Tamandua tetradactyla: one gene and its partner. The protein of the gene in region 1 interacts with the protein of each later gene in a pairwise test. Links are inferred from orthologs where the notes say so. Each region holds a gene or a part of one and is shown in the gene's direction. Other genes may lie near its edges.

Region 1 (10,803 bases):
CACAGCAGGTGAGAGGTAGATCAATATAAAGAATTAGTCACTGTGATGAAAGAGTAACTTTCACTCTCAGGTATATGCCCAAGGGACTAGAAAACTTATGAGCACACAAAGTCTGTCATGCAGATGTTCACAGTAGCATTATTTCACAATCGCAGCAAGGAGATGAAAATTTAAAAAACCACAGTGAGATCCCACTTCACACCCAGTAGGATGGCCAGAATCATGAAGGCGGAGGATAGCAAGTGCTGGTGAGGATGTGGAGAAATTGGAAACCTCCAGTGTTGCTGGGAGGAATATGAAATAGTGCAGCTACTTTGGAAAATAGTCTGGCAGTTCCTCAAATAATTAAACAGAGTTAACATTCGACCCAGCAATTCCACTCCAAGGCACCTGTTTTAGTCTCCTGGCTGCTAAGGCAAATACCATACAATGGGTTGGCTTAAGCAATGAGAATTTATTGGCCCTCAGTTTTGAAGCTAGGAGTCCAAAATCAAGGCAGCTTCAAGGTGATGCTTTTTCACAGAAGGCTGTGGCACTCTGGGGAAGGCTCCCAGAGACCCTGGATCCTTGGCTTTTCCTTCACATGGCAGTGCACACGACAGCATCTTCTCCTTTCTCTTCCACGTTCCATTGACTTCCAGCTTCCGGCAGCTCCCTTTGGCTGTGTGTGTGTGTGTGTGTGTGTCTAAATTTCATTCTGCTTATAAAAGACTCCAAGAATAACATTAAAATCCATCCCAATTCAGCTGGCCATCCCTAAACTGAAGTGACCTCAAGGGTCCTATTTGCAATGGGTACACAACCCCAGGAATAGATAAAGAACATGTTTTTCTGGGGTATATAACTCCAAGCCACCACAGGAGGTGCCTCAAAACTTGCAAACAACCCAAATATTGCAACCCTCACCTTAGTATTTGCAGATAGCAGGGATTCTGCATAGGCCCTTGGAAAGGCTAAGACCATGGCTAAAACCCCAATGATAGATGACTCTCAGACTTTGAAATCCAATGGAGTCTGCCCTGAAGAATTTCAGAATTGTATGTGTCCAATAACCCCTGTGTCCCTTCCAATTTCTCTCTATGGAAATGAAAACATGTATCGTATGACTGTCCTTTCTTTGTATATTGGCAGCAGATAACTTGTTTTGTGCTTCACAGGTCCACAGCCAGAGGCAATTTTTTTTCCTTATAACAGACCATACCTATATACAACTTTGATATTTCTTATAGTTTCTGATGTTGTATCACATTTGTATTGTTACAGAAATGGTTTAAGGCTTTTGTGATATTGTGATTGAATGAATGTATATTGTATTTGGATAGAACATGTCTTTTTGGATGCCAGATGGTGGAATATGCTGGTTTGAAACTGTTATGTGTTCCAGAAGAGCTATGGTTTAGTCCTGATCCAGTCAGGCCAGGGCTATTGTTTAGGGTTGAAACCTTTGAGAAGATTGTTTCCATGGAGATTGACCCACTCAGTTGTAGGGGTGAACTTTTGCTTGGATTGTTTCCATGTTTATGTGACACACCCAGCTGTGGGTGTGACCTTTTGATTAGATGGAGATGTGCCTCCCACCTTTAAAGTGGGTTTTGATTTGTTTATTGGAGTCTTTAAATGAGGCGACAATTTGGAAAAACCTCAGAAGTGACAGAGCCAACAGAACCAACATGGGATCTAAACATTTGGAGATGCAGAAAATAAATGGCCCTGGGAAAGCTGTTTGAAACCAGAAGCCACACAGCCCAGCAAATGCAAGCCAAGTGCCTTCCCAGCTGACAGAGGTTCTCAAAACATCAGCCTTTCTTGAGTCAATGTATATTTCTGTGGATGCCTTACTTTGGACTTTTTATGGCCTTAGAATTATAAATATGCAACTTAATAAATTCCCTTCATAAAAGCCAAAAAAAAAAAAAAAAGACAACTTACAAACAAGTGTTCAAACCAAAACAGGTACATGGAGGCTCATAGCAGCATTCTTCATAATAACCAAAAAGTGGAAACAGCCTAAATGGCCCCCAACAGATGAATGGATAAATGAGATATACCCACAAAAGAAATTAGTCGGGTGCTTGCTTCAGCAGCATGTGTACTAAAATCAGAACCATACAGAGCAGATTGGCATTGCTGCTGTATGAGCATGACTTGGATATTCATTGTGCCAGTTTGAAACTATTAGGGACCCCAGAAAAGCCATGCTTTAATCCTGATTCAACTTGTGAGAACAGGCCTGTTGTCTAGGGTGGGAAACTTTGATTGGATTGTTTCCACGGAGATGTGACACACCAGTTGTGGGTGTGACCTTTTGAGTAGATGTAGATGTGACTCTACCCATTCAAGAAGGGTCTTGATTAGTTTACTGGAGTCCTTTAAAAGAGGAAACATTTTGGAGAGAGCTCAGAGCCAACACAAGACCCAGACATTTGGAGATGCAGAAAGAAATGCCCCTGGGGAAGGTGTTTGAAGCCAGAAGCCAAAGGACCAGCAGCCATGTGACTCCCAGCTAGACAGAGGCGTTTTGGACCCATTGGCCTTAGTTTGCAAGCTGCTGGAATGCGATCCCAGAAAGAACGACTTTTAAAAAGAGGGATTTACAACAAATGGTGCTGCAATAATGGGACAGTCACATGGAAAAAGAATGAAATGTGACCCCCACCCTACAGCATACAAAATAAATTTTTTAAAAAGTGTGGGGGGGGGGTAATTTATTAAGATGCAAGTTTACAGTTCTAAGGTCGTGAAAATGTCCAAATTAAGGCAAGGTTATAAAAATGTCCAAACTGGCCTGGGGCTGCTGGTCATGCAGCAGGGGAGAGCAGATGAGCAGCAACCCCAGGAAGGTGGGCTTGCAGCGAGAGTTCAGGCCAGGGCGGGGGCCCTTCAGAGCAGATGGGTACCAAGGGCATTGATTTCCACATCAGGAAAGGTCATGGTCAGGTCAGGGCTGCAGAGGGACCTGGTGGATCTGAGGCAGAGGCAGCTCCCCTGATGCCCCCGCACCCACTCCGCTGGGCTGGACAGGGCCAGAAACAGCACGACAGCCTCTTCCTCCTGCAGCGTCCTTCGGGCACCTCGACTGAGAAACGGGGCCTCCCGCTTGTGTTAAAGGAGAAAGACTTGCACCCTAAAGTATCCAGGCTGTTGGGGCCCGATGGGTTTCCCAGAGTCGAGACTTCTTCAGATTTTAGAAAGATGACAAAGTTCACACCCTCCAAAGGGGCTGGGCACCTGTGATCAAACATTCTGCAGTGGACACAGAGTTCACACTAACTGGGGTAAATAAACACCACGAGCTCCCTCGTATACCTTCATGCAAATTAAAATAACGAGACACCACTTCACACCCACCAGGATGGCTATTTTAAAAAGCAGAAGGTAGCAAGTGTCAGGTAGGATGGAGAGAAATAGGACCCACTGGACACTGTGGGTGAGAAAGTAAATTGGCGCAGCCACTGTGGAAGACAGTTGGGCAGTTCCTCAAAAACTTAAACATAGAATTACCGTATGTCCCAGCAATCCCACTCTAGGCAAATGCCCCAAAGAATTGAAAACAGGGACTTGAACAGGTATCTGTACACCAGTGCTCATTGCAGCATTACTTATAATTGCCAAATTGTGGAGGCAACCCGTGTCCAAATTGCCAAATTGTGGAGGCAACCCGTGTCCATCAACAGCTGAACAGATTAAAAAAAGTAGTACATACAATAGAATGTTATTCAGTTGTAGAAAGGAATGACGTGCTGGTACCTACTGCCACACAGATGAACTTCGAATACAGCAGGTTGAATGAAATAAACCAGACACAAAAGGACAAATATTGCATGGTATCTCTTATATGAAGTACTTAGAATAAGTAAACATTTCTTATTACTTAGTAAAAGTAATGAGAGCAGAATCATGGTGACCAGGGCAGCAAGGAGGGTGGGGTGTGAGCTTCTGTTTGGGATGATGAAAATATTCTGGAACTCTATAGTGGTGGTTACACAACATTGTCACTGTAAACTTAATGTCACAGAATTGTATACCTAAAAATGATTAAAATAATTTTTATGTTATGTTTATTACAATAAAAAATTTAAAGGTAATACGTGTAGTAATAAAAATCACAGTGGAAATCAAAATTTATTTTTAACCAAATGATAATGAAAATCCAATACCAAAAGTTGTGGGACGCAGCTAAAGCCATACCTGATAGGAAAATAAGATCTTAAATATTAGAAAATGCAGCATAGCTATTACAAGGTGTCAACAATAGAGTGGTATATGGGAATAAAAAGCACCTAAAAACTACAGACTATAGCTAACAGTTATATTTTAATATTCTTTCATCAACTGTAACAAAGGTACCACACCCATGCTAAGGGTCAATAATAGGTGGGGATAAGGGGTATGGGATTTTTCTTTTCAGAGTCATGAAAGTGTTCTAAAATTGCTTGTGTTGATGAATGCACAACTCTGCGATTATACAGAGAGCCGCTGGTTGTATACTTCGGATGGAGTGTATCGTGTGTGAACATATCTCAAACTGCTTTATTTAAAAAAAAAAGCATTGAGTTAAAAGTCCAGCCTAAGAAGTTGAAAAGGGGACAACAGAATAAACCAAACACAGTAGAAGGAACAGATATTAATAATTAAGAGAAAACAAAGGCATGACAGGGAGCAGGCCGGGATGAAAGCTGGGCAGCGTGGCTTTCTGCCTTGCCCACAACTGCCTCCCCGACGGGGCCCACACCAAGCTCACCCCAGGGAGGTGATGGATTTTTGCAATCCATCCAACTGGTGGGGTGCCATTTCTTTATATTCATACAAAAAGCTTATCAGCATTACCGCTGCTTCTGGTAAATCAATAAAACTCAAAAGTTGGGTTTTCGTTAATAACAACAAAAGTATAAGAAATACTAAAAATCTGAGAAAAGTCTGTTTGGTGTTTACTACGCGTTTTTAGGACTTCTCTTAATCCTTAACTCTGCCTCATTCAAAACAGGGGCTTGGTTCCATTTAGCTAACTGGAAAACAAGCTGTGATCACTGGGTCAAGAGGCCTGGGTTCATTTCCTTCAAAACTGGTTGCGTTAAGTCAATATTAATGCAAATTTCCTGCGGGGCAAGTTCTGCTCGGGGCGCTAGGGACCCAGCGCTGGGTAGCACGAGCCCCCGAAGGGATCGGTGAAAAAGCAGAGCTTGGTAAAAAAGTCAGGGAAACCTTTTTCGGTATAACTCAAGGTCCAGGTCCGGCAGAGCTGGAGCCTCGGGATGGTCACACCAGGCTTTCTACCTTTGGGGTGTGGGAGACTCGTCTGGCTAAAGGATACCCAGCCACACGCGACTGTGAGCCACGGAAGAAAATTAAACTTTAAACCGGCTAAGCGGGTGGCGTCAGGCTACTGCACCCAGGGGAAGGGGCCGAGAGCGCCTTGAACTACATCGCCAGGTTGGTCCCCCTCCTCTGGCGTAAGGAAAACAGAATTGACATCCTAAAGCGCGTCAAGACCGACGCCCGAGAAGTCCTTTAGGAAGGGGGCACGGGAAGCACCCCGAGAGGAAGAGAAAGGACCGAGAGGAAGAGAAATGACCGCAGCGGCAGGACGGAGGAGGAAGGAAAATGCAGTGCGTGCGCGTGCGTGCCTGCGTACGCACAGCCGCGGTGGCGGGGCCGCGTCCTCCATTAGCCACGTGCGCGCGCCCGCACCTTTTCCCTACCCGCGGCGTGGCCGTAAAGGGGCGCGGCCGTGCCGTAAAAGGGGTCGCAACCCGCAGAGCGCTGGTTGACGGCCGCGACTCCATTTTGTTCGCGCTTCTCTGCTCCGAAGTCGGTAGTTTCCTCGGCGTCTGCGAGGCGAAAAGTTTAAAAAGGATAAAAGTTTTGAAGAATTTTCTGGAACTCTGTCGACAAGCACAGTCGCTCTCCACCTGAATCTCTCCGATCGACGTCGATACTGCGGCTCTGAAGTAGCGGGAAAAAATGCGGCCTTTGGACATCGTCGAGCTGGCGGAACCCGAGGAGGTCGAAGTGCTGGAACCCGAGGAAGATTTTGAGCAGTTTCTGCTCCCAGTCATCAACGAGATGCGGGAGGATATCGCGTCTCTCAACCGAGAGCACGGGAGAGCCTACATGCGGAATAGGAGCAAGTTGTGGGAGATGGACAATATGCTCTTCCAAATAAAAACCCAGGTGGAGGCTTCGGAGGAGAGCGCTTTGAATCATCTCCAGAATCCCGACGACGGAGTCGAGGGTAGAGCGACGAAAAGATGCGAGAAGGCCGAGGAAAAGGCCAAAGAGATTGCGAAGATGGCAGAGATGTTGGTGGAGCTAGTCCGCAGAATAGAGAAGAGCGAATCGTCCTGAAGGGGAAGCGACGGTAAGGCCGGCCGCCCGTGGGAGCTGGGTTGACGCTTTAAACTGGGTCACATCTCTCCGAGAAAAATTATTTTCTAGCCACCCACGTGAGGTGGATATTCAGAGGAAGGGAAGGATAAGAGCATGCTTGACTTGTAACTTTGGTCCTAGTTGATACCATTTACGTTTGGGTAGTTTTGGTTTACTCTGGTAACTAGGGAAAATAAGTTGTGTATTTTTTGTTTAGTTATTTTGGCTTGGTATGTGTTTGGTTGAAACCAGAGGTCCCCACCAGTAGACTAGAGACAGAGTAAGATAGAGTAAGCCTAAATATCACGAAGGGAACAGAAACAAACACATGATACGCCATCGAAAGGCGTGGGGGGATAGAGATAGAGAATTACGAGAGATGTCCGGTATTGGACAATTCCAAATTTTGCTGGAAGACTGGAAGGAGTCAAGTGGCATTCCAGAGGAGGTGGCACCCTTGCTGATTGAATTTTTTGAGGGTTTTTGGTTGGTTTGGCCCCAGAATTAACCTCTTGATAAATTTCTCTCAATTGTGCTTTAGGTTTACAGCCAATGGATTCTCGTCACCTGATGGAGATTGGCTGACACCCTGGAGAAGCTGAAACCAGAGAGCCTTTTGTTTTCTCTCTTTTTTCCTCTGTCTGCACTCTGTCCTCAATTACACTACGTTTTTTGCTATGGTCTGTGGTTAATGACCTCAATATAAGTTGATTGTTAAATAGTTTTGTTTCTGGAAATAACTTCATTTGTAAAATGCTCGCACATAAGGGAATTAGGGCCTAGATTGTAAACTCTTGCAGCAGTGACATTTGTTCCTGGGCTTCAGTTGTTATTTCTAAATTTTGAGGTACTTTGCTCTTTGTTTGTGGCCTGGTAGCTCCGTGGAACTTTGGGTGTGTTTGTGACACCTGAGACTCGGAGTTGGAGCTCTCCAGCTCTGGAGGTACTCAAGGAGCTGCATTAATTCTGCAAGACGAGTCCATGCAGCAGCTGCTGAAGAAGCTGAAGAAGGGATCGTACTTCAACTGGGGGTGTGACTGGGGCTGATCTGGTTAGAACTAAGGTAAATCAGAAAGCAGGGTGGAGGATGGTATTGTCTGTATTTGGGGACTTTAGTTTCTGCGTAAGACCAAAGGAGGAGAGATTTATTCAAATTTTAAATTTTCTGTCACACACTATTTGGTGTAACCTGTCTAGTCACTTTGTTTGGACAACCTAACTCAGCTTTGACATGGAACCTGGATTAGGGGATGAAAACTTGGTATTCTGTGCAGGTTGATGTAATTAATTCCCTGATACATTCTGGAGTGTTCTGGGCATAAAATGAAAGAACTATTTGCAAAGTCCCTTGAGGGACTGGGAAAGGAAAGCAGAAACTGTATGCATTGGACCCTAAATTGGATAGAGAAGAGGCTGCCTCAAGGTTCACAAATTGTCCAGCTTATAAGTTCATTTGAATAACAGACCTGACACAAGTATTTGAGGTCAAAACCCTACCTGTTAAAACAAACAAAAAACTTACTATGTTAATAAAAGTATTCATTTGCTTGAAAAGACAAGGCCTAAAAAGTTAATTTGTTAAGAAATGGATGTTCTTTCAGCATGAAATTTTTCTTTGGTTGGTTGGTGTTATCAAGTGGGCCATGAATTGCTTACTGTTTACAAGGCTCTCCGCATGTTTCTGATTGTTGGGAATGATATACTCTCCGCATGCTGCTGTGAGAATGGGTGTGGAAAGAACAGGCTGTTCTTACTGTAGAAGGAAGCTCATCTGATCCTGTGGTCCAGGCCCCTGCTTTCAGAGAACCAAAGTACCTACAGTCATCTTTCATATACAGACTGGAGCATTTTCTACTCTAATCCTTGCATTAGGAATATGGGGATAAGATATGTTCATGGTGGGATGGGATAAGACATAGAATAGAGGTGGTGTGATGCCCCAACCCTCAGGATGAAGGTCTTATTCTCCCAGCTGCTGCAAGTGTTGCTGACGGACTGTTCTTGGTTAGCCCTCTAATGGACTGGTGGTGTAAGGGCTCTATCCCTCTCACCACAATGTGGGGCAACCTCGAAGGGCTTCTTAGCTTCCTTGGGGCATGCTGAGACCTTCCTTGGGACTGTATCATAGCCCAACCTCTACCCAATGCTGCTTCCCTTCCCTTCCATTGGTATTAATCCCAGTAAATTTACCTGCATTTTAATCTTCATTTCAGAGTCTACTTCCTGGGGAAGGAATCTGTTTGTAAAAGTACAAACCAGTAGAAAACCATGTGTCACAAGCTCGGTACAGATACATGTCATGTCTCAAGAGAATACTGAACCGGGAATCTAGGAAAGGTTTTTCAGAGCAGATGGTTCATGAACTTGGCCTTGAAGGATGAGTATAGCTTTCAAGATCGAGAAGAGAGTGAAAAAGGGAACAGAAAAATGACAGGTTCCGAATCTTCCATGTGAGTTCCAGTAGTGGGGAGAAGTGGATAGGATGAAATTATGAACCAGGAAACAAAAATGCTGCATTTGTCTAAACTTAAGAAATTAACATTGCTACAGTACTACTAACTAGATTGTAGGTATTACTCAGATTTCACCAGATTTCCACTGATGTCTTTTTTCTGCTTCAGGATCCAATCCAGGATATCACATTAAAACAGATGGCACAAAATTAAAAAACAAATAAGAATGAGCACCCCCCCAGAACATTGTTACTCTTCCAAAACAACTATTACCAGTTTCTTGTATATTTTTCCAAATATGCATAACTTTCCCAAGTTTTTTTCTTTAAACATAAATGGTAGTATACTAAATGCACTGTTACATTCTTTGATAGTTTTTTTCTCCCCTTACTTAAAAATACAGCTTGGAAATCTTTCCCATCGCAGTATCTGGTTCTGCATTCTTTTTTATAGCTGCACAGTATCCATTGTTTAGTGATTTTTAAGCACATACAAGTTTGAAAACTACTGTCTTCAGTTCTCTTCAATAACTCCTGAATTGGTTGGAACTGCAGTGCAGCCACAGCTTTCCAAATTCCCCAGCTCCTGAAATCCTTCCTCTCAGCTTGCTGGCAGTTGGAGGAACAATTGAATAGTTTGCATTTTGCATTTTCTAAGTAAAGAATTTGATAGGAGCCATTGTGAGGGGCAGGGCTGTATAGTCATTTAATTGGGTATGGCTGGGGTGACCAGGTTGTTGGTTATAGAGCCACACATCCCTCTCAAGCCCCAGGCTGTCCCTTTCCTGGCTGTCCTGCAGAGGTCAGGTCATGGATAACTACAGAAAGGCCAGTGGAGGGATTGTTTATTGGATGAGTTCCCGATAACTGCAGAGGCCACCTCAAGCTGGAACCTGTCTGCAGGATTTTGGTGTTTTGGTTGTGATATGTCCTTCGGTATCAAACTATAGGAGGAAGCATGGGGACTGGGAGCATAGGGGCATCACCTAACCCAGGCTGGGAGATGATGAAAGGCATCCAGGAAGAGATGTATTGTGTGCATCCATGAGAAATGGAGGTGAGGTGTATAGAATGTCCCAGCCCCACTGGTCCCACCCTTGGTCAGGATGAAGCCAGGAAGACCACAGAAATTACTGCAGAGGCTTCTACATCTGTGGGCTCAGCTCAGATGGACGTGGTAGAACTGGAACTGGCAACAGCCAAAGGCACGATCAGTACTTTGGGGAAATGGCACTGATATCTGACCCCAGGTGAAAAGGATTGCTGGAAAGAAGAGTTCCTAACGCTGCTGGAGATAAAGTTCAGAGAGTGCCAGGCTGTCGTGGACCATGGGCTGGGAGATGGGAAACAGGACTTTCAGTCTTCCTCCCACTTGTTCTGTTGTGTGAACTTGGGCAAATGACTGCCTGTCTGGTCCTCAAATTGTTTGTCCTTAAAACAAAAGGGTTGCACTGTCTAGTCTCTAAAGGTCCTTTCCAAGCCCTCGCGTTTTGTTATGTCAAAGTTTCATAAAGCATCCTAGTCACTTACAGAATGAAAGTTTTTCTGGGATGAAATTATGTGTGTGTGTATGGGGGGGACTAGTGCTGTTCACCAAATAAATTCCAATTCTCTGCCTTCCGGAGAGTTGTACTTCCTTGTCCCCCTTGCTGTGTGGAGTACGGCCGTGTGACTAATTCTGCCCAGTAACTCATGTCCCATCCCAGTCTGAACACCCAGTGGGAGGCCATCAGCACTTTTCCCTCTGGCACTATGGTTGGCCTGTCAGCCTGTGTTCCTGAGTCCCTTTGATGAGCTTCGTTCCTCTGCCAACCTATGATGGACATGTAATACAAGCAAGGAGATATCTTAGTTTTAAGCCACTGAGATTTGGGGATTGTTAAATGAATTAACCTAGACTAAGATGACTGATATAGTTATTTTCAAACCTTTCTTCTTTTCCTCTTGTTTGATTAAAAGTTTTTTCCTTCTGGTGAGGATACGGG
Region 2 (11,321 bases), on another chromosome or scaffold:
TTACAATGGAGATGTTCTTTCTTGCTCTGTGTCACTGGCCCTGTTTTGGAGGGGAAGGTAGGAAAGGGGCTTCTGAATTGTCATGGCTTGACAGAAAAGCAAGATGGTTGGGGTGATGTCACAGTTTCGGTCACATGAACATTTTTCTGTAAGCTTCAGTTATATACCAAAGGACATGGCATGAGGAATTAGGAATCAGACGGAGACCATTTACTTGGAGTGCTGCAAGGCAAAGGTGCACTTCTTGTATGTTGCATATAACAAGAGGATAGAACGCAGCATTTGTTTGCACATGGTCACTGTCATCTGAATTTGAGGCTCCTTAAGTCCAGTGGGCCACTGGTGTTCCCGGCTGATGATTTTGCAAAAGGCTGACTTGTCTGACACTCTGAAGGTCCCAGTCCACTTTGGTGGCTGGGCTGTGATAACCCTCCCAAACACAGAATCCACCCCATTGAGACGGACAGGCTGGGGCTTCCTTAACAGCCCTTTCTTGTTGTTCATAGCCCGGAGCTCTGACGTGTGGCAGGGTAATTTGGGACTCACCCCAGTTTCCAGGAATGGGCTGTCTAGGACTAGAGTGACCTCTTGAAAGCACAGCTGCACTTCAAGGTCAGAAGGAGTATGTGGGAAGCAGGGAGAGGCCCTAAAAGGGTGCTTGGAAGAGGGTGTGGGTGTTGTGTGCCGCAGCCATTGGAAACTCTCGTCCAGTGGGGTCCATGGTGACCAGAGCTGGTATCCCGCCATTGACAGTCCTAAAGAAGAGGAATCAGAGCATGGGATTTCCCTGACATGCTTGGTGAGGACATGGCCATTCACATTCACATCTGTTTCATTAGTGATTTAAACTTATACTCTGTAGTTCCCATGAACTATTTCAATAGATGTTAGTGTGTTAGTGATTCTATAAAGGGCAGTAAGGGAGGGAAAAAATGTTTCCAAAGGCCAGTCTTTAAAATTATTTTTTCTATTTTCTAGGTGTGTTTTTTCCTCATTTATGGGGAGACCCACCATATCTTTTAAGACCTCAGTTTTCTGTTTCCTTTGAAGATAATCTTCCAAGGGCTTGGAGCATATTGCTAATGCAGAATTTATCCAAATAGAATTGGAATTTTTCCATCATTACACTTCAAAATTGCTAGTATAAAAACGTTTTTCTGAATTCAGTAGGAGCTAACACATTTTCAGCACCTACCTATTATGTTAAGGGACACAGCAGATACCTTTTCTTTCTAGCCAAGTATATTGCCCTGACTCCTTTCTTCTCCCACAAAAGGTAACAGTGACAGGTTTGATCCCAACCTCTCCAGTAATTGGCCCAGAAATTCTGTGAAAAGTTGGCATTTCCACCATAGTTTGTGAGACCTTAGAGATGATGTTTTAAAAAGAACTCTTCATGACATTTCACACTAGAAGCCCTCCACTGACAATGGTTAGTGTAAAGGAGGTTTGTTGATTTTCTTCAACTAGTGTGTTTCTAATCCTCTATGCAGACACTTTGCACATGCTAACTGTTCAAGTATCTGGGCTGCCCTAGGATGAGAAGAGCCTGCCATCCAAGGGACAGTTGTCTATTCCAAAAAAAAGCTATGAAATGATGCTTGATCTCATGCATATGATATCATGCATAAGAGCATATATCCAAGATTAGGGCTACTCTGTAGACACCATTATGGGTGGTTTCTTAACTCCTCCCGGCATATGACTAAAAAACACATTTAATTCCAGGATCCTTTTCCCAACTCATCTCCTCTGACAAAATAGAGAAATAGGTGCAAGGTTTTATCAAAGGTCCAGCACAGATATTCGGCAGAACCAAGGCGGAATGAAGGGCTCCTGACTCCAGGGCCTTTCTACCAGTTCATCCCCACCCCCACCATTCGGAAGTCCCATCATCTACTTCGGGGGGTGGGAGGTGGTGAACCTAGGAAGTCTTTTCAAGTTGCTCTAATGTCTCCCAGAGAAGAGATGCCTCTTTCTGGCCAAACAGGCTTCCCCTTCCTACCACTCCTCCCGTTCAAGGAATTCCATCCCTTGATTTCCCCACCTGGGAAAGGGAAGGACAGCGCCAAAGTGCAGCTGAGGTCCTCGTGAACTGTGAACGGAGATCTGGAGAGGTCGGAGCTGCCGGGAGTGGAGGCGGCACCCCCTCCCAGCCCGGAGAAGGGGCTTGTTTCCCGGGGATCCCTACCGGGGGGCGGGGGCCACACGGCTCTGGCCAAGACGGAGGTGGTGGTGGGAGCCCGAGCCCGGTGCCACCATCAGGGCCGGGGGCTCACCTCCTGAACTCCGTGGGCCCACGCTCCAGAGTGGCGGTCGCCGGTCCCGGGCCGCATCTTTTCTCCACCGGGTGCCTGGCAACCGCCTTTGTGACCCGGGATCTTGAGCCGCGGCGTGGGGGTCGGGGGGGGGGGGGGGGGGGGGGGGAGGTTAGGGCTCGAGGCGCGCCAGCTGACGGCCTTAGGGGCTGATCTCCCCACTCCCATCTCCTGGGAACCCTTGGCCGGGGACTGAGCCTTGAGGAGCGCGGGTTCGATTCCCCATTCTCCCCACCACCCCTCCCTGCCTGTGCGCCTTTGATCAAGTCTCAATCTCAGCATCCATTCCAACACATGGAACAGAAGACTGGCACGCTTGAGAGGTCAGGAACCAGAATTAAAGCCCCGGATTTACATTACACCCTGTTCGGTGGATGTTCAGGTAGTTTATCTAGGCTCTGAAGCTGTATGTTGCTGTATTGGAAAGATCCCAGTACAAGGAGACAGAACTTCATAAACGCCAGGCCATCAAAAGCAAGAAGATAGATGATAACACGTCTTTCCTTCACTTTCTGACCAAAAACCTTTCACTACCTTCTATTACATCTCGAAAAGTATGATCCTGTCCCATCCTTACAATGGTAAAAGATGACACTTTCACCACAGTAAAAGAGTGATTTGACAACTTTGTAAAACATCATCTCAAACAATTATCCTGGGTCACCAAAGAAAGAAGGGACATCTAACCAGTTCACCTTCAGAGTCCCAGTGCCTGGCAGTATGAAGTATTTGTGAGAGAAATTAACTACCTACCTGCTCTTCCATTATACACCCAGAAATTGCCTTGTACTCTGCAAGCTGTAGAAGGCAGCAAAAATAAGGGCTGTCTCCTTCTCTGGTTCTTTAAGTGAAGCTGAAGGATAGATCCTGGCCAGGAAGCAGATAGGTTTAAGGAGCTTGTGAAGCATTGTCAGATGCTCACTGTGCATGTTTGCATGCCCTGCAGGAGAGGTAAGTGGAAAGAGGTTAGAGGGAAGACAAAAAATGGAAAGAGGGAAGGAGAATGATGAGATTTGGAAGAGATGCAAAAGATTTTTTAATTACAAAACTTTTTCCCCCAGTAATTTTTTTTTTAATTTTCCCCTTGAATAAGAGAGATACCTGATATTTAAAAAGCAGGCAAAACAGTTGTTTTTATTGCCTTTTTTTTTAATGAAAGTCTCCAAAACAACACTGTATGGTTAGAAATTGCTGGACAGCTATAGGTGTATTTTATTGCTACTTTCTGCATAAGAAGAAAATGTTAACTTATCTTGAGTCCTTTGCTTCGTTAGGCTCTGTTCTTAGTTTTTACTTTAGCCTTGCTTGCATAATCCTTCCAACAGTCCCAACCCACTGAGGTTGTTATTTTAGTAATACACTTGAAGGAGCGAAAGCTCAGGGGGGTAAAAAGACTCATCTCTAGATTTGAGATTTGAAACCGAAATGGCCTTCCTTTTAAAGGAAAAGGTCTGTCTGATTTCTGAGGCATGTGAGCCATATACTACTTCAACAGCATCAGTTGGAAAAGCGGGGTCTTGATTGGAAGGGGGCCTTCATGGGTGCCTAGGGCTCCTTAGTTGTCAATATCAATTACTTTAGAAATGATTTGTGTGAATATGTGGAAGAGCTCGGATAGACTTGAGCCTATTTTCAGTGTGGTACAGTGAAAAGATAATGGAGTCTGGGTTGTTGTAAACATCAGATGAGGGATGAAGATACACATACCTGAATGGTTAAAAGATTTTGAAACGTAAACTATTACCCTCACAAAAATTCTCAGATCAATCTCAATTTATATGATAAAGGCAGCGAAATCACTCAAAGAAGCATCTTCCCTTCCCAGTGGTGATGTAGCAGCAGAGCACCACAGAGGGATCAGAGGAAGGATGAAGAATGTGAAGAAAATAAGACACAAAACGAGGGCGATGAAGATGGGGGCAACCTCTTCAAATTCCAAAAGAAGAAGAGGGAGAGACATTGACAAAAGAGATTGAGGAAAATACCAAGGAGGGAGTAGAAGGGGGAAAAAAAAAGAGGAAGGTGAGAGGAGAAGAGCCAGGAGAAGGAGGAAAGGATTCTTAGGTTTCATGCTTTATTTCTTCGTTTTCCAGAAAACACAAGCCATGAAGCAAAATTTCAACCATCTTCCCATGAACTAAACTTGTTATTTCCCGAAGAAATAAAATGTTTTGGCCTGAAGTTACCCTTCTCTCTAAGTATATCAGAGATTCTCTGAAAAATTACACTGCTTAATGTGGCTAGATATACCTGGATGTATCTACTTAATCAAGTCAACTTGAAATAAATGTGAAGACAATATGTTCATATTTCATGTGCCTGAAATTTTGGCCTTTGCTTATTATTGTTATTTATTTTTATTATTGTTCTGCATGAATAGCCCTTCTTACTAATACCCTGAAAAAAATTATTTCAAGGTATAGAACCTCTCTTCGGGAAATAACAATACTATTTTCTCTGGGTGTGCCTTATAACCTGTCTTGGATTTAGCTTTGAAAATGAATGTGTCCTCCAGAAAATAATTATATAAATAAATGATGATAACATAACCTCTTCCTGACTTCTCAAAGGGTTTGTGAGGATGCTATATAAAAGTGTCTTTATAGGTTGTAAAATCTTCCACCCAAGTAAAGGACTGTTAGTAATGGTTTCTTCTCAGCTACTACTAGAAGAAATGACTCTTCAGCCACTTTTTAATAAAAGGCTTTTACAGCACAAATCAGATTGTAAATATTCCTTGAAACAAAAAGTTTGCAATTCCATTATTTTAACAAATCAGATATTGACATTTTGGTATATCTTTCTTGTCCTCAAGCAGCAATGAAAGAAAATTTTGTATTTTGTTTTTCCCTTTAATGTATCATGTTTTCACATTACCATACTTTTTAAATGACTGCATGGTGTTGCCTTAAGTGGCTATACCTTTGCTTAGTTATTCCCTATTGCTGGAGATTTATTTTGTTTTGATAATTCTTCAAAGAGCACCTTTAAGCTTTAAGTTATTTTGTGGTTTCTTTTTTTTTCCTTTTCAATGATTTTCTTAAGGATATTAGGTCAAACGGCAGTTATCAAATTTCCTTCTCAAGGGACAATGTGATCAACTATTTATGATCCTACCAATTTCACCTCAGCCTTGCCATCACTAGTTATTTAACTTTAAAAACACGTTTTGTTAATTTGATATATACAAGGAGGGATGTCACGTTGCGTTGTTGGAAACGTTTTTTAAATGACTTGTATGTAGTGTGGTTTAAACTGCTGTGCCCACCTCACTGCTGACACATACTGCGCCTCCTTAGTTTGGAGCAGATGAAAGAGCTGGTGACACTGGCCCAAGCGCCTTCTAACGACCACAACGGCGGGTTACAGGGTAGCTTTGACACGTGCGTATTCCACTCTCCCGGCCTGAGTCGCCGCATCTGTTCTCCCGAGCGTGGGAGAAGAGCAAGAACGCAGCCGAGGACTTAACACTGCGCAGACGCACCACAGTGCTCGCGGAGTCCGTGGGAGTCAAGGCAGCGGGTTTGATTGGCAGCGCAGGCGCACTGGCGGCCTGTAGGGACGGTGCGCCTGCGCAGTTATTCTCCCTTCAGCGGCCGCCATGGCGGGCCAGGAGGATCCGGTGCAGCGCGAGATTCACCAGGATTGGGCAAACCGGGAGTACATTGAGGTCATCACCAGCAGCATCAAGAAAATCGCGGACTTTCTCAATTCGTTCGGTAAGTGGGCGATCCGGGGGAGTAGGGAGACCTCCGAAGCGGTTTGGCGGGGACGCTGAGGAGAAGCTTTGATAGGGCACGCCGGGAGCTCTCGGCTCTGGCTCTTTTTCGCATCCTCCTTCGGGCCGCACTTCTCCCTCCCTGATCCCTAGGCTCCTTTAGACAGTTTCGGTGGGGTTTTCCTGTCCCAGGCTGGGCTCATGGGCCACGCTGGATCCACCAAGTCCTTATCCACCAAGGCCTTCCTTTTCTCAGTCCGATCTCAAGCGGCCCTATCCGTTCTCTGCGGCTTTTCTTCTGCCTCTTTTGCGCCCCGCTTTCATCCCGGTTCCTGCTTTTCACTCTTAACGACTGTCACTCCCTTGCTTAAAGACTGTTTTGATTTTTGAGCGGACATGTCGCCATGTCGTTCGAGTCAAGACGAAGCTTTGCGTGCTACGTGCTGTTTCCGCATTTTTTTCCGTCGTCCCTTCAGCCACTGCTCTCGCGGTTCCTTCCTTCCTGATTACCGTGGGCTTGCTGAAAGCGGTAGGAATTGAGGTTAGAGAGATAGGTAGAGTCCAGAGCATTATAAGACCGTGGAAATCTCTGTATTGCTGGTATATAGCATATAGCTGTAAGCGGGTGTTTTTTATGCTTCTAGCCGGTTCCACACAGCTAACACAGGGCGGGAGACTTGAGCATAGAGATAACTTTGCCAGAATCTTTCTTTAGTATATCGTGCTTGTGACAGTCGTAAAAATTTTCTGCACTATTCCATACCCTTCTTGAGAGCAAGCCTGTACAAAATTCTACTCCATGTTCTCCAAGTATGCTTTGGTTACATTAATTCAACATTAAACAATTAAGATTAAATATGGAAAAGTGATGTATAATTTTTTTTAATGAATTATTTTCTAGCTAGATGGCCGATGAGTCCTAAAGAGTATAAATGTGACAGAGCAAGAGTGTTGTCAGAAAGCATCAAAAAGAGGAATTAAGTCTCAGTACCAGGCATTCTCTCAGGCACTGGGGGGGCGTGGGGGGAGCACACTATGGGGGACATAGAATAATTTCCTGCCAAGTAATTTCTAATTTTCGAGATGAAGTGATGACAACTTCAAACAAAGCAGAGCTCTGTGTTTTTTTGTTAAAATGATTAGGTGCAAGATGTACAGGACTATAATCTTTTAAAAAAATTTTTTATTAATAAAACCAATCAATATACAACACGAATATTCTTAATGTATGAACATTCCATACTTGGTGTGCAATCAGTGGCTCACAATATCGTCACATAGTTGTATATTCATCACCATGATCATTTCTCAGAACATTTACATCACTCCAGAAAAAGAAATAAAAAGAAAAAATTCATACATACATATCCCTTCCTCTCATTGACCACTAGTATTTCCTTCTACCCAATTTATTTTAATGTTTGTTCCCCCTATTATATATTTATTTTTAATCCATATTTTTTACTCATCTGCAGGACTAAAATCTTTTTATTTTTCGGAATTTTTTTTTAAACACCAAACAAACGCAAACATTCTTAACTTTTGATCATTGTTCTACATATATAATCAGTAATTCACAATATCATCACATAGTTGCATAATCATCATGATCATTTCTTAGAACATTTGCATCTATTCAGAAAAAGAAATAAAAAGAAAACAGAAAAAAATTCATACATACCATACCCCCCACCCCTCCCCTCACCGATCACCAGCATTTCAATCTAAATTTAACATTTGTTCCCCCTCTTATTCATCTTTATTCCATATGTTCTATTCGTCTGTTGATAAGGTAGATAAAAGGAGCATCAAACACAAGGTTTTCACAATCACACAGTCACATTGTGAAAGCTGTATCATTATACAGTCATCTTCAAGAAACATGGCTACTGGAACACAGCTCTACATTTTCAGGCAGTTCCCTCCAGCCTCTCCATTACATCTTGAATAACAAGGTGATATCTATTTAATGTGTGAGAATAACCTCCAGGATAACCTCTCGACTCTGTTTGGAATCTCTCAGCCATTGACACTTTATTTTGTCTCATTTCACTCTTCCCGCTTTTGGTCGAGAAGGTTTTCTCAGTCCCCTGATGCTGAGTGTCAACTCATTCTAGGATTTCTGTCCCACGTTGCCAGGAAGAGGCTTGTCTTAGTATGGTGGATTTCCTCACTCATTAGGGAATGGGAATGAAGGTATTGATTATCCTTATGAAAGAAGACAGTAGTATAGTATAGATGTATATGTCAGGGCTAGATGTACACACATACAGGTTGTTATAGAGAGTAGGAAATGGTGGTCAAAAAAGCATAGCCCTCATGTATCCTGAAATGTTTTGAGGAATATAATAAGGTTGTATGGTTTAATGGAGAAAGTGAGTGGATTTGGAGTCAGGAAACCCAAGTTCAAAGAGATTAAGGTAATTGGTTTTAATAAACTGGACACATTTCAGAAATACTGGTCTGTTTGCATTCTGTGGCGACAGTTTGAATGTTGGTTCTCATCACTAGTTTCTCCTGCTTTCCTAGAGAGATGAAATATTGTTGGGGGTTCTTCACCACATTCTTTATTCATAGCATTCCCTTAGAGGAAGGGCTAGATAAGAGAAGCCAAAATATCCGTGCTAGGGAAAGAATGAAACGATGACAGGATCATAGCTTTGAGACTCTTCTTTAATCTAGAGAGGCAGTGGAAGTACATGGAAAAATCACTGATATATTTAACTTTGTTTTAAAAGGCAGAACTTAAAGACTTTTTTATCTGGGAGGAGTTGATTTCTGATACATACAGAATATCCAAACAAGATATATCATTTCAATTAGTAAGCCATCTAAAATAAGCTAGACTGTTTTTCCAAATTTGAAAGTGATCTAGGATTTCAGTCCCCAAATTTAGATCCTAAATAATGTAATAACTTCATTTCTGAGTTCAGAATTATATTAGTAAAGTTCTAGTTCATATACGTTTATCTTTGGCATCCATCTTCCTGTCAGATCACACCACTAAATCTATAGTTTGTGATTTTGAGATCTAACTGAAAATTGTACAGGATAGATGTCCCTTGTTTTATAAGGAAGAAAAATCGGCTCCGAGATTTTTAGATGAGTGATTGACATTTTGTGATCAGATGGAGAAGTGTTTTCATTTCATTGGAGATTTCTAACAAGTCCTAGACTGAGTCAACAGATACACAGAATTCCTATCTGTAGGAGCTAGAAAAAAATGGCTTCCCTTAACTTAGGCCTCCCATAAAGTGATGGTAATGGTCTAATATTTGAGTAATTGCTAGGTAGTTTTTGAAGATTTTAGAAGGTGAATTTAGTCTTTTTAAAGCAAAAAATAATAATAATGACAAAAAAGAACAAATATCAAGCAATATTAAAAGTTAAAGCTATTTTACTTAGTTGTTAGGTGTGAGTGAGGCAAGTTCCTGAAGATTGACAGTATGATGAGATAAGAGTTTAGATAAAGACCAACGGTGAGAAACTGAATGAATCATAGAGATAGAGTTGAATACATTTCTTGGCACTGGATGATTTGGGATGAGGGTGTGTGGGATGTATCTTCCCACTCAAAGCTCTTAGCATGACTCCTCAGTTCTGATAAATAAATCTGTGGGGTTTATGATAATATGATTTGGTGGTGCAAAGATTCAATAGGAGTTTTTTACTTTTTTGAGGGGCAGCTGGAGCTTTTTGAAAATCACAGCCATCCTGCAGTGCCTACCCTGACCAGAGGATCTGCACAGGCCATGTGCTCTGGAAAGGGAACCTTTTTTCCAAGATAGCTAATAAAATGACTTTCTGTACAGCTTTTATGCTGTGGTTCCAGTTGGTGAGAGTAGAGTCACCATCTCTTTGTGGTTTTCTCTTTCAGAATTGGAGGACCACTTGAACCTGAGGACACAACAGATTAGAATGCAGTGACAACACCCTAACAATAGGCCTGTTCTATGCCTTGGAATTGGTGAAGTTTCTAAAAATAGATTATCTCAGATTATAATTTATTTTATATTCTTTTTTCTGATTCTAAAGTGAATATATGCTCACTGCATAAAATTCAGAATGTATAGAGAAATATAAGGAAAAAATAGAGAATATGGCTATTTAAAAATCAGTTTCCATGCTTTAGCCAACAAATATAGCATGCCTATTGTGACTCCAGCAGTGTGTCAGATGATGTGAAAAATAAATATGAATGGACATAGTACCTACTCCTAAGAAATTGTTGGAGAAACAAAACCTACAAAACAATTCAAGAGAAAGGGTTGATTTTTGTAGTCTGAGGGTTCTGTGCAGTATGACTTCAGAGAAGAAGCCATCTGGCACTTCGCATTTGCCAGCAGTGGTGAGGTATATACACCATCAAGAACCCTGACAAGAATTGGCATTTTAGTTTAAGTCTGGTGATAGTGTACCTATAAATGTACTCTGATTTTGGATTTTCCCAGTTGCTGAATGCTTTCCCTATGTTTTATTTGAACCAGCATATACTTATCAGGATTTGAAATATAACCCAGGTTTCTTGAGTTGAACATTTTATATTTCTCAACAATGCTTAACCATGTAGGCCAGTAGCATAGTATTGTTCTTGGATTCTGATTCATTACCAGACTGACAGAGCTATAGCAGAATAGCTACCCAAGAAGGAACTCTCCTCCCCCATGCACACACACACGCATAGAATTTTGGCAAGTCTCTTTTTTTTTTTTTTTTTTTTTTTTTAAAGGAAAGACAGAGAGAAGGAAGGAAGGATAGAAGGAAGGAAGGAAGGAAGAAAGGGAAACATCTTTAAACATTTTCTTGTTTTATTGTATTTTGTTTTTCCGTTTTTTGTTACATGGGCTGGGGCCGGGAATCGAACCGAGGTCCTCCGGCATAGCAGGCAAGCACTTTGCCCGCTGAGCCACCGCGGCCCGCCGGCAAGTCTCTTTTTATGGGAGATGACAGGTCGTCAGTGATAACAGGCTCTTACTGAATACCCAAGAGATGTGCCTTTGAGCTTCTAAAAACTGAAAAGAGATTTGCTCCTATTGGGCAGTACTGGCAGAAAGTGGCCATGTACCCAGGAAAGGGGGCTAGTGCTGAGGTGCATATAGTTAAGCTAGACCTGGGAATTGGAGGAAGCAGCACTAGCAGGTAAGAAAATAAAATTAAAAAGAGTATAATGAGGGTGGTAGGACGGTAATTCAGTGGCAGAGTTCTCACCTGCCATACTGGAGACCTGGGTTCAATTCCTGGTATCTGCCCATGTGAAAAAACAATATAATATAATGAAGAATGTC

What was found.
Region 2: the proteins of MRFAP1 (region 1) and BRK1 interact in binary tests that used the Homo sapiens proteins (3 or more experiments, as listed by UniProt). The link is inferred for Tamandua tetradactyla from reciprocal best matches to the Homo sapiens genes MRFAP1 and BRK1.

What each region holds. Positions count from the first base shown.
Region 1 is NC_135345.1:6,302,212-6,313,014, reverse strand, and holds MRFAP1 (MORF4 family-associated protein 1), read left to right. Parts: upstream 1-5,756; 5' UTR 5,757-5,961; coding exon 5,962-6,345; 3' UTR 6,346-6,358; intron 6,359-6,907; 3' UTR 6,908-7,925; downstream 7,926-10,803.
Region 2 is NC_135335.1:39,040,610-39,051,930, reverse strand, and holds the start of BRK1 (protein BRICK1), read left to right. Parts: upstream 1-5,875; 5' UTR 5,876-5,919; coding exon 5,920-6,037; intron 6,038-11,321. Other genes in the region: FANCD2OS (FANCD2 opposite strand protein), read right to left, coding at 211-747. UniProt on the Homo sapiens protein: Involved in regulation of actin and microtubule organization. Part of a WAVE complex that activates the Arp2/3 complex. As component of the WAVE1 complex, required for BDNF-NTRK2 endocytic trafficking and signaling from early endosomes.